Linked DNA regions of Cricetulus griseus. The protein of the gene in region 2 binds, or shares a complex with, the protein of the main gene of each other region. Links are inferred from orthologs where the notes say so. Each region holds a gene or a part of one and is shown on either strand. Other genes may lie near its edges.

Region 1 (5,314 bases), on a different chromosome or scaffold from region 2:
TGGGGCTCTAGCTGGCCTGGAACTTAGTATGTAGACCAGGCTGTCCTCGAATCCACAGAGATCCACCTATTGGGATCTGGGGCAGGTGTCACCATACCCTCCCTGTATTCTGTAAGTATTTTTATTTTTTAATAATGTGCATATGTATGTATGAACCTGAGTGCAGGCTCCCACAGAGCCCAGACGTATGAATTCCCCTCGAGCTGGAGTTAGAAGAAGCATTGTGAGCTCACCAGTGTTCTTAACTGCTGAGTCACCTCAGCCCCCATTTCATTTTTATTTATTTTTTTCTCTTCTGAGACAGTCTTGTGTGTGCCAGGCTGGCCTCTAACTGTATGTGTAGCCAAGGACAGTCTTTAATTTCTGATCCTTCTGCCTCTACTTCCCAAGTGCTAGGATTATAGGCATGCTCCATCATACCTGGTTTATGCGGTATTGGGGGTGGAAACCAGAGAGCGTCACACATGCTAAGCAAGCACTCCATCAAGTAAACAACGCCCCAAACTACTTTCCCCCAATTTATAGATGATGAAACTGAGGCTCATGGAGATCTCACTCAGGGTCATTCAGAGTGTCAAACTAAGGCCCTTGCCCTTAGCCACTGGGATAGCTTGCCTGACTCTGATTAGGTGCCCTGGGAGAGGGTGGATGCGTAGAAGATCACTGTAGCTCTGGCTGTGTAGTTTGGCTGGCCTCAAACTCACAGAGATCTGCCTGCCTCTGCTTCCTAAGTGCTGGGATTAAAGGTTTTTTTTTTTTATACATGATCTCAAGGTGTGATCTGGGCTAGTTTCTAATTTAGAATCCCCCTGCCTCTTCCTGGGATTGCAGGTAGGCACTGCCATACCTTGCTTGGAAAGTGCATTTTGGATATTGAGAAATAGACGTTGACTGTGTGGTGGGAGCTTGTGGGGTGTGTGTGTGTGTGTGTGTGTGTGTGTGTGTGTGTGTGTGTGTGTGTTCAGAGAGGAGGGGGGAGCTTTCAGATACCCCAGCTATCACTGTGGGCACCTCTACTTTGACTTGCTGTGTGATCTTGCATAGGTCCTGTGCCTCTCTGGGCTTTAGTTGAATTACCTATCAACTAAAGGGTTGAGTAGAGGGTCTTCACAGCTGGACTTGGTAGCCAGTGTAGAAGTTGGCAGTACTGCAGAGAAAGGTCAGGTCAGGGAAGGAGGAATGTAGAAAAATGTCAAGCATTTGAGGTCAAGGAGGAGAGACTGTTTTGACAGCAAAGAGATCACCAGTGACCTTGGCAAGCTTTGTCCCTTTGGAATGAAGTGAGCGGAAGTGGCTTTGGACAGGGGCCAGGAAAGGGCTGAGCCAGAGGAAATGGGAGAGTGGGACCCAGAGATAGGGGAAGGATGCCTGCCTTCAGGCAGGGATGGATAATGTGACGAGGTCATTCATGATTGATTAGTATTGCCTGCCTTAGGCCACAGTTGAGAAACAGGGAGGCACTGCTGTCTATTAGCAATGTCTGTCAAGGACATAGGCATTGGGCATGGATGTGTCTCAGGTTGGAACGGTGGGCTGGGTATCTTGGGTTGTGGGGAAGCAGCATTGATTATTAGGAAATACCCAAGAACCTTTTCCCGACCTTTGACTAGGCTGGAGGCAGTTTGCCTTATGGCAAGTTGTGTGATCCAGCGATCAGGAGCAAAAGTAGGCACTCCAACCAGTTCCTCAGCTATAGAATAGGCATGAGAGACCTTCAAGGCTGCTGTGCCTCCATTGTTGTTTGGTATGGCGGCTCTGCATGTTCTGGATATAGTGCTGTGAGTTTTGGTTTCTTCCAGAGCAGGGAGTTGTTCTGGTGTTCTTATTGCCTGACACAGAACTGGGGATACCATGGGGACCCTCTGCTTCCTTTTGGAGGATCTAATGGATGGGACGTTGTCTAGGGTCATCTCAGTTGGGGCTCAGGAGGCCCAGGGGGCATCAAGTCAAACATAGCTGGTGCTGACAGTTCTATACTCAGAGAACATTGAGTGCCAACTGTGTGTCAGGCTCTGGGTGACCAGTCAGCAGAGTCCTCTTACCTGGGTCTGAGAGGAGGGGTAATACTTGCAGGGCCCCTCCCATGCTCACTCACAGTGTCAGTGAGGGACAGCGTCTTACTCAACACAGATCCTGAGCCATGAGCCATGTGTGAATGAAATGATAGAGTCCCTGGAACTCAAGGCTCTGGGGCATGGCCAAAGAAAGCAACAGGGAATCCAGAGGGGACAGGGACATGGTAGTGTCCCTTAAGCCCAGGACTCCTCCCCTTCCTGACAGTATCCTAAGCTGTATCATGGCCTTTCCATCCTAGCTGGTGGGGAAGGCACAGGACTTGTGGAATGGGTACCTCCTATGGGTGTGGCATCTTTGGGTTGACAGGCGAGACCCTCACAGGGCTGTGCTCTTATCCCCAGTGACCTCGCTCTCCCAGATAAGCTTGGCCCCATTTCCTACTGTGTGATGGGTGCCCTTAGCCTCAGCTCCAAGGAGGAACTGAGGGATGGCCAAATTTTCCCTTGGTGTCCCCTTTACCTCAGCACTCTTTCCTGCATAGGGACCAGGTGGGGCCCTTCCCAACTCTCCCCTGCCCTTGCTGACATTAGTAATGGCCAGGACATCTTGGAGGGCCCTTCCCATGGGCCATGGCTGCAGCCCAGTGGAGCTAGTAAAATCATTTAACTCTAACCTTAGTCCCTCTCCTTGGGCCACTGTATCTTTGCTGGTCCTCACAGCCACCCATATCTAAAGTGGGTGTGGGCTGGGACGTACCATCTGGTGGGTAACTACCTGTATTTACTGTGGTGGCTTTTTTGTCCCATGCCTTCAACTCTTGAGCCTCATTTTCCTTATCTGTAATATGTGTGTCTTAATTAGGGTTTCTATTGCTGTAAAGAGGCACCATGTCTACGACAACTTTTTTTGTTTGTTTGTTTTTTTGAGACAGGGTTTCTCTGTTGTGTAGTTTCAGCTGTCCTGGAACTCACTCTGTAGACCAGGCTGGCCTTGAACTCACAGAGATCCACTTGCCTCTGCTTCCCGAGTGCTGGGATTATAGGCGTGCACCACCACTGCCTGGCTACCACAGCACCTCTTACAAAGAAAACATTTTATTGTGGCTCTCTTGCAGTTCAGAGGTTCAGTTCATTATCATCATGCTGGGACATGGCAGCCTGCAGGCAGACATGGTGCTGCAGAGGTGGCTGCTACATGTTGATATGCAGGCAACAGGAAGTAGACTGAGTGTCACACTGAGCAAAGCTTGAGCATAAGAGACCTCAAAGCCCACCCCACAGTGACATATTTCCTCCAACAAGGTCATACCTACTTGAACAAAACCTCACCTCCTAATAGTGCCACTCCCTTTGGAGGTTACTTTCTTTCAAACCACCATAATGTGATAACCCCATCTCAAAGAATCAGACTGAGGTCTCAGTAAGGAGGTGGGACCATTCACCTTCAGCATTGAGTTTGGGCACATGAGATGGCATAGTCAAGTCTTGACTCTAGACTGACTGACGGACTCTGTGACTTGGTTTGACTTCCTGGGCTTTGAAGTGGCAGTCTGCAGTGTGTGGCAGCTTGCGGGTGCTCCTAAGGGAGAAAGGGGACAGTGTATGTGAAGCTGGTCAGGGTTTGGGTAGGCTGGGAGGTAATAGCTAAGGTGAGGGTGGGGGTAACCCCAGGGCCCTTTGTAGGTGTGCTGAGGAGGTGGGTGGTGAGAGCCAGGCCTGCTCAGCACTCTGAAGACGACCTGTCCTGTGCTAGAGTTACCAGAGAACTGGACGGACACACGGGAAACTCTGCTGGAGGGCATGATTTTCAGCCTCAAGTACCTTGGCATGACACTGGTGGAGCGGCCCAAGGGGGAGGAGCTGTCAGCAGCTGCTGTCAAGAGGATCGTGGCCACAGTGAGTGTCCAGACCAGGAGAACAGGAGCCTGGGCCAGCTCCCCCTGCCCCAGCTGCCCTTGTCCCCAGGTGGGATCTGTATGCCGTGAGTGATCTCCTGTGTCCAGCTCAGGTATTTCTGGAGATGGCCTTTGTATTTGCCCATAAGGGTCAGCTAGCAGCCTCTTCAGGCCACCCTGGCCTTGACTACTTCCAACGTCAGTCCCCACCAGGCTCCTGGTGACTCACTAGCCCCAAGGAGGGAAGGAAGTTATTCCCGGTTTACCATGTTCTCACTGCTTGGCTGTGTGGTCCACAAAGTTTCCTTCCCCTACCTCTGAGTGGGTGTGGGCCCTTTAAGTCCATTCTCTAGGGTAGCCTTGAACTGTAGCTCAGGCTCTGGCATGTGGGTGGAGCTGGGTTCCTAGGTCATGGTGCTGGCAATCTCCCAGCTACATGTCCCTGGGCTTGTCCCTTCTCCTAGGAGTCCCCAGCTTCCTGGACAGGGGGTATTGATCCCCTCCTGTGAGGGCCAGCTCTCACCAGGCCTCAGGCTGTGGGTTGTCCATTTGTGTCTCAGGAGGGTTGTCCTGGTTTGCTTTCTGTTGCTGTGCTAAAAACACTGACCAAAAGTGACTTGGGTAGGAAAGGGTTTGTTTGTCTCAAACTGAGGGAAGTCAGGACAGAGACTGAAGCAGACACCTTGGAATGAAGCTTTTTGGCTTGCTCAGCCTGCTTTCTTATATCCAGAACCTCCTACACAGGGTAACACCCCGGCTCCCCAGGGGACCGGGCCCTCCCACATCAATCACCAGTCAAGGAAATACCCCCCCAGACTTGGCTATAGGCCAGTCTGATAGCTGTGCTTTCTTAATCAAGAATCCCTCTTCCCAGATGACAAAAGGTAGCCGGCACAGGGTGCTGGTTTAATGTCCACCCCCTGGCATCTTCCAGTTGTCTGAGCTGAGGGGCCTTGGAGCAGTGAGGTACAGGCTACTAGACAGGCTCCTCTGACCCCTGTGTGCCCCTAGGCCAAGGCCAGCGGGAAGAAGCTGCAGAAGGTAACTCTCAAGGTGTCGCCCCGGGGAATCATCCTGACTGACAGCCTCACTAGCCAGCTCATTGAGAACGTGTCCATTTACAGGTATGCCCAGCAGGGAGTGGTCATGTCTGCTCTGCCACTCAGTATGATTGGAGTGTCTTGTCTGAATCTAGGCTCAACAGCTGTCTGTCTGGGGTCCAGGGAATCTCAGTTTCCATCTGTGAATGGGCTGGGGGCAGGTCCTGCCTCTCTGTGCTGTTACTGTGGTGCTAGCAAGTAACCCACAGCTCACAGGGGGCTGTGATGTGATGATGGGCACTGCTGTCCCCTAACCAGCCGAAGCCGCCTCAGAGGGCCTGTGCTTGGCCATGCACCTCGGCTG
Region 2 (5,314 bases):
TTAGTAATGTCTTTAATTGAATATGAGAACCAGCTGGCTTTAATACAATTGTCAGTTAAGATGTGTATCTATACAGAATCTGATTCAAATATTAACCATTTTTGTCTTTATCATCTGTTTCTAATGGTATATTTCAAATTTCAATCCCTTCTATATTACTTTGTCAAGTTTTGAGCTGTCATTTTCCTAACACTAATTTTACATCTTAAAAATTCATTTGTAAGTGCTCTTGGAAATATCGAAAATTTTTATTTTAACTTTTATTATGTGTATGAATATGTATGAAAGTAGCTTATGGAGCAGTGTGTATAATATGAAACTGGTTCCCATGCCAAAAGCATGTGTGCTGTGTTGAGATAAACACATATAGCATGTTAGTCATGGTTACTGGAGGTGGACAGTTGAGAGTGGGAAGGGATAGGATAATTGTGAGAGATTTCTGTTGCATTTTATACCCTTGTAAATCTTGGTGTGGCACAATTATAATTTGTTTTTGTTTTTCTTCCCAAGACAGGGTCTCACTATGTAGATCAGGCTGGCCTCGAACTCAGAGAAATTGCCTTCTCTGCCTCCCAGGTGCTGGGATTCAAGGCATGTGCCACTACGCTCAGCAGAGTATAAATTATTTTTAAGACATGAACATGCATAAAATTATTTTAAAACCACAACAAAAAAGAGCACTAAATTAAAGGGTTGCTCCTTTTGAAAGCACATATGTATGTTCTTTATTGGTTTATTGTTGGGTCATATGTAGTCTCTTTTTATTACTATGACTTCTTATGAGATGCATATAGATATTGGAATCCAGAAGGGAATTATGGGGCTGGAGAGTTGGCTCAGCAGTTAAGAACACTTGCTGCTCTTGCAAAGGAACTGGGTTCAATTCCCAGCATCCACATGGTGGCTCACAATGTCTGTAAGTCTAACTCCAGGGAATGTGATAACCACCTGTGGTCTCTGGAGGCTCTGCATACACGTAGTACCTATATAAACAAGTAAACATATAAGTAAAAATTTAAAAATTGAGGAAAAATGGATGTAAGGTAGAATATGTTAGAATTATTCCTGCTAATATTTATGGCCATATTTATTAATTTTTATTAATTAATGTAGAGATGAAGTCTTACTATGTATCCCTAACTGGCCCAGTTCTCAGTACATACCCCAGGCTGCCCTCAAATTCATGCACTCCTCCTGTCTCAGTGTCCTGAGTAATGGAATTAACAGGTGCATGCCTCCACATGCTGCTTATGTAACAGTTTGGTTTTGTTGAAGCTCACACATGAGGGTTAGAGAGGTGACTCAATGGTTAAGAGTACTTATTGCTCTTGTAAAGGACCTGAATTCATTTTCCAGCACCAACATGGCTGCTTACAGCCATTTGTAATTCTTGTTCCAGGGGTTCTGACGCCCTCTTCTGTCCTTTGTGGGTATTGCATGCACAAAGTGCAACAGTGTGCACTTACATATATGCAGGCAGAACACTGGTACAAGTAAAATAAACAAATCTTTTAAAAAGGTTAATGAGAGGGGAGGAGAGGCGGGGCAGGGGGAGGAGAGGCGGGGCGGGGGGAGAGCGCACATGTCACACTATGCTTGTAGAAGTCAGTTGACAACTTATGGGGATTCAGTTCTCTTTCCTCCTACCATATAGGTCTCAGAGGTTGACCTCAGGTCACAAGGCTTAGTAGCATGTGCCTTTACCCACTGGGCTAGCTCACCAGACCTTAATATAACAATTTAAAATACTACTATTATTTCCCAAGGCCATTTATCGGATTAAAGTGGCTTTTTTTCTTCCTAGCTTGCTTTTGTGTTTGAGTCTGAACATTAACTCATCTCAGTATATGTTTAAGTCCTTTGAAACATTAGACATATAGAATTATAACTGTAAACTCCCAAGTAAAGTATCATTTTAATAGCTAATCTGTGTAAGTCACTACACAGTGCCTTGACAGTAAGCCTGGCACTTTGGTGTCTCTGTGGAGACAGATCCATCTAATTGTCCTTGCCTTTGCTTTGCTTTAGGATTCTGATAATCCTGACCTTCGAGATCGGGGTTATATTTATTGGCGCCTTCTTTCAACTGACCCTGTGACAGCCAAAGAAGTAGTATTGTCTGAGAAGCCATTGATCTCTGAGGAGACAGACCTCATTGAGCCTACCCTCCTGGATGAGCTCATCTGCCACATTGGTTCTTTGGCCTCTGTGTACCATAAACCTCCAAATGCTTTTGTGGAAGGGAGTCATGGGATTCATCGCAAACACTTGCCAATTCATCATGGGAGGTAAGCAGGTGAAAGTTATTCTGTGAGAAGTAAGTTGCTGGTTAGGCAGTTTGTCTGTCTTCTGCTCTGTGCCTGGAAGGAGCTTGCTGTGCATTCTGCAGCATAGGAGTACAGTAAAACTATAGGAAATTATGGTGGACACCTTCTGTACTGATAAGGTTTGCAAGTTGCTTAAGTCTGGTCATTTATGGTCATTTATTAGATACTGGGGCTGAGGAGCAAGCTCAGTTGACAGTGAATCTGATCCCCAGAGCCCATGTGAAATAGCTAGGCATGGTAGTGAGTGCTTGTAGTTGAGCACTGGCGAGGTGGGGACAGGAAAGTTCTGGGGCTCATTGGCTAGCCAAACTAATCAGCAAGCTTCCTGGTCTCTTTCGACATGGAACACATGCAACATACACTTAACAAACACAGACAAATGCACATAAATGGAAAGAAAAATAAACAAGGCACCTGAGGAACAACACCTCAAGCTGTCCTCTGTCCTCTATTGGTTGGCAGAAAACAATATTAGATGCTATTTCTCATATGTAAATGACTTATGGTAAACTATAGATAAAATACTTCTGTAGGATTGCAATGTGTAAACAGCTTAGATTCTCTCTCTCTCTCTCTCTATATATATATATATATTATATATATATAATCTTTCAATTATATATGCCTAGTTAGTTTTGTTTCACCAAATTAGTTTAATGAGATCAGTAAGAAAAGTGTGTTTGGAGCAGACCACAGGTTACATGCAGCTCTTGCTTTCTAACTTCTCAATTTTATAATCAGAGAAGAGGAACACTAATAAACTCTTTGCTTTTGTTTCTGTTTTGTTTCTCTATGTAGCCCAGGCTGTCTTGATTTTCAGAGATTTGCCTGCCTCTGCCACAACTGCCTGGCTGGCTTTTTTTTTTTTTTTTAAGGCAGGGTTTATGTACCCAAGGTTGGCCAGAACTCATTGTGCAGCCTAGAAGCTTCTATTTTCCTCCTGCAGCTTCCCATGAAGCTGGGATTGCAGGTCTAGACAACCATATCTGGCTTTATATATAGATCCTTCTCAAAGCCCCCTTAGCTGTTTCTATTTTATTTTGTCTTTAAAGACTGATACAAGAAAAATACCTTTTGGTATAAGTGGGGATAATGACTGGGGAATATAATTCAGTGATAGAGTGCTTGCCCAGCATCTCTGAAGGCCCCTGAATTCCATTCCCATCCAAAACACAAAAAGGGGGGTGCATATATATGTGATGGATTGCTGCAAATGGCATGTCTGTAAGGTCCATCCTTAACACTTGTGACATGAAATAAAGCAACACTTGAAGGCTCCCATGGGATCATTGTCCCATTCTTCATAATTATGGGAAAGCATCCTAGTGATTCGCCCTGTTATTAGGCCTGGTGTAAAGCAGCAGCAGGTCCCCATGTTTTTTTCAGGAGGCTGTGTTGAATGATTTATACTTAAGTGCTGTAGGCGAGGCCATTCAGGATTATGATACTTCACTGCCTCCTTCTCTAAGTTAATTCCCTCCTCAGAGAAGGTATGGGGACAGGACCACACCTATGCATGGCAGTAGGAGTGTGAGACAGCAGTTATTCTTGCAGAAGCAAACAGGAAGCCAGGTGTGCCTCTCAAAAGCCTGCTCTAGTGATACACTTCTGCCAGCCAGACCCTATTCCCTGAATGCCACACAGCCTTCAGAATACTGTGGCAAGCTAGGGACTGCATATTCAAACCAAGAGCCTGTTGGAGACATTTCTGATTCAAGCCTTAACACCTGTTCCCTCTCTTCTTTTATTACTAGTCTTGGTTAATTCAGAGGTCTGTTTGAACCTTTTCTTCCTGGGTTTCTCTTTGTACTCCTTTAGGGAACTTAGGGACCATCCATAGTCACTGCTGGTACTAAAGAGTCTGCTGCACAGCATCATGCTTTTGTTGGGTCCTTGCTTTCATCAACTGGTTTGGGTGGCATTGTTTGCGTTCTCTTGATGAGGAAACTTTGTCATAGAGTTGTCACCTACAGTTGCACTATGTAAAGCCTATGCTTGATCTTAGATGTCTGGGTCTAGATCCCCTGCTCTTACCAACCACCTTCCCCTGATAAGTTACCTGAGATGTGTATATAAATTTCTTTCCAAGTTTATTCTCTAGTTCTGGCTGCCAATCACTTGTCTTTAGTTGACTGCTGGACATCTATAGTTATTTTTCTTAACACATAACAGAATTAAGCATCTTGAAGCTGTGGTTGTAGCTCGGTGGTAGAATGTGTTCTTAGCGAACAAAACCTGAGTGTCTTATTTTTTTTTTTTATCATCCTTCCAGATTCCCCTATTGGCAGCATCACTTATCTTTTCCTTAATGTTTGTTTATTGTCATTCTCCTTACCCCTCCATGTTCAGATCTTGTCAAAAGCTACTTAAGTTTTGTTTTTTTTTTAACATGTATTTATTTGTTGTGTGTACGTGTACATGTCTCACAGAGGACAACCTATGGGAGTCAATTCTCTCCTTCCACTGTGTGGATTTTGGGGATTAAACTTGATGGCAGGAACATTTACCTCCTGAGACATCTCAGCCATGTTTAATTCCTTAATTGCATTCTTAGTGTTTTGTGGTTGTACATGTGACATTTGCTTGCTGCTTTATTGTATAGGGGTGAAGATGGTTTTTCTTATTTCTCCTCTGTGTTTGATTACAGCACTGATGCAGGTGATAGCCCTGTTGGCACCACCACTGCAACCAACCTGGAACAGCCTCAGGTCATCCCCTCTCAAGGTGACCTCTTGGGGGATCTTTTAAATCTTGACCTGGGTCCCCCAGTGAACGTGCCACAAGTGTCCTCCATGCAGATGGGAGCCGTGGATCTTTTAGGAGGAGGACTGGATAGCCTGGTAAGCCTCTGCTTCTCTTTTGGTGTTTTTAGTTCTTGCTGGACTAGAGAACTTTATTTGGCTTTCCTTGGTGAACAGAAATGTCCTTTGTAAAGGACAGAATTATCTATCTTTAGAGACTTCATTACCATTCTGTTCATTATTGGG

What was found.
Region 1: the proteins of Ap2b1 (region 2) and Ldlrap1 are in contact, whole or in part, in a crystal structure (PDB 2G30), measured with the Homo sapiens proteins. The link is inferred for Cricetulus griseus from reciprocal best matches to the Homo sapiens genes AP2B1 and LDLRAP1. Residues at the interface, in NP_001273.1 of Homo sapiens: Arg834, Gln835, Phe837, Leu838, Trp841, Glu849, Gln851, Ile876, Ala877, Arg879, Val881, Glu882, Gln884, Met886, Tyr888, Glu902, Arg904, Ser915; in NP_056442.2 of Homo sapiens: Asp253, Leu255, Asp256, Ala258, Phe259, Ser260, Leu262, Ala263, Gln264, Arg266, Thr267.

The regions. Positions count from the first base shown.
Region 1 is NC_048595.1:18,529,903-18,535,216, forward strand, and holds part of Ldlrap1 (low density lipoprotein receptor adapter protein 1), read left to right. Parts: intron 1-3,768; coding exon 3,769-3,911; intron 3,912-4,921; coding exon 4,922-5,034; intron 5,035-5,314. UniProt on the Homo sapiens protein: Adapter protein (clathrin-associated sorting protein (CLASP)) required for efficient endocytosis of the LDL receptor (LDLR) in polarized cells such as hepatocytes and lymphocytes, but not in non-polarized cells (fibroblasts).
Region 2 is NC_048600.1:96,581,350-96,586,663, forward strand, and holds part of Ap2b1 (AP-2 complex subunit beta), read left to right. Parts: intron 1-2,028; coding exon 2,029-2,288; intron 2,289-4,974; coding exon 4,975-5,167; intron 5,168-5,314. UniProt on the Homo sapiens protein: Component of the adaptor protein complex 2 (AP-2). Adaptor protein complexes function in protein transport via transport vesicles in different membrane traffic pathways.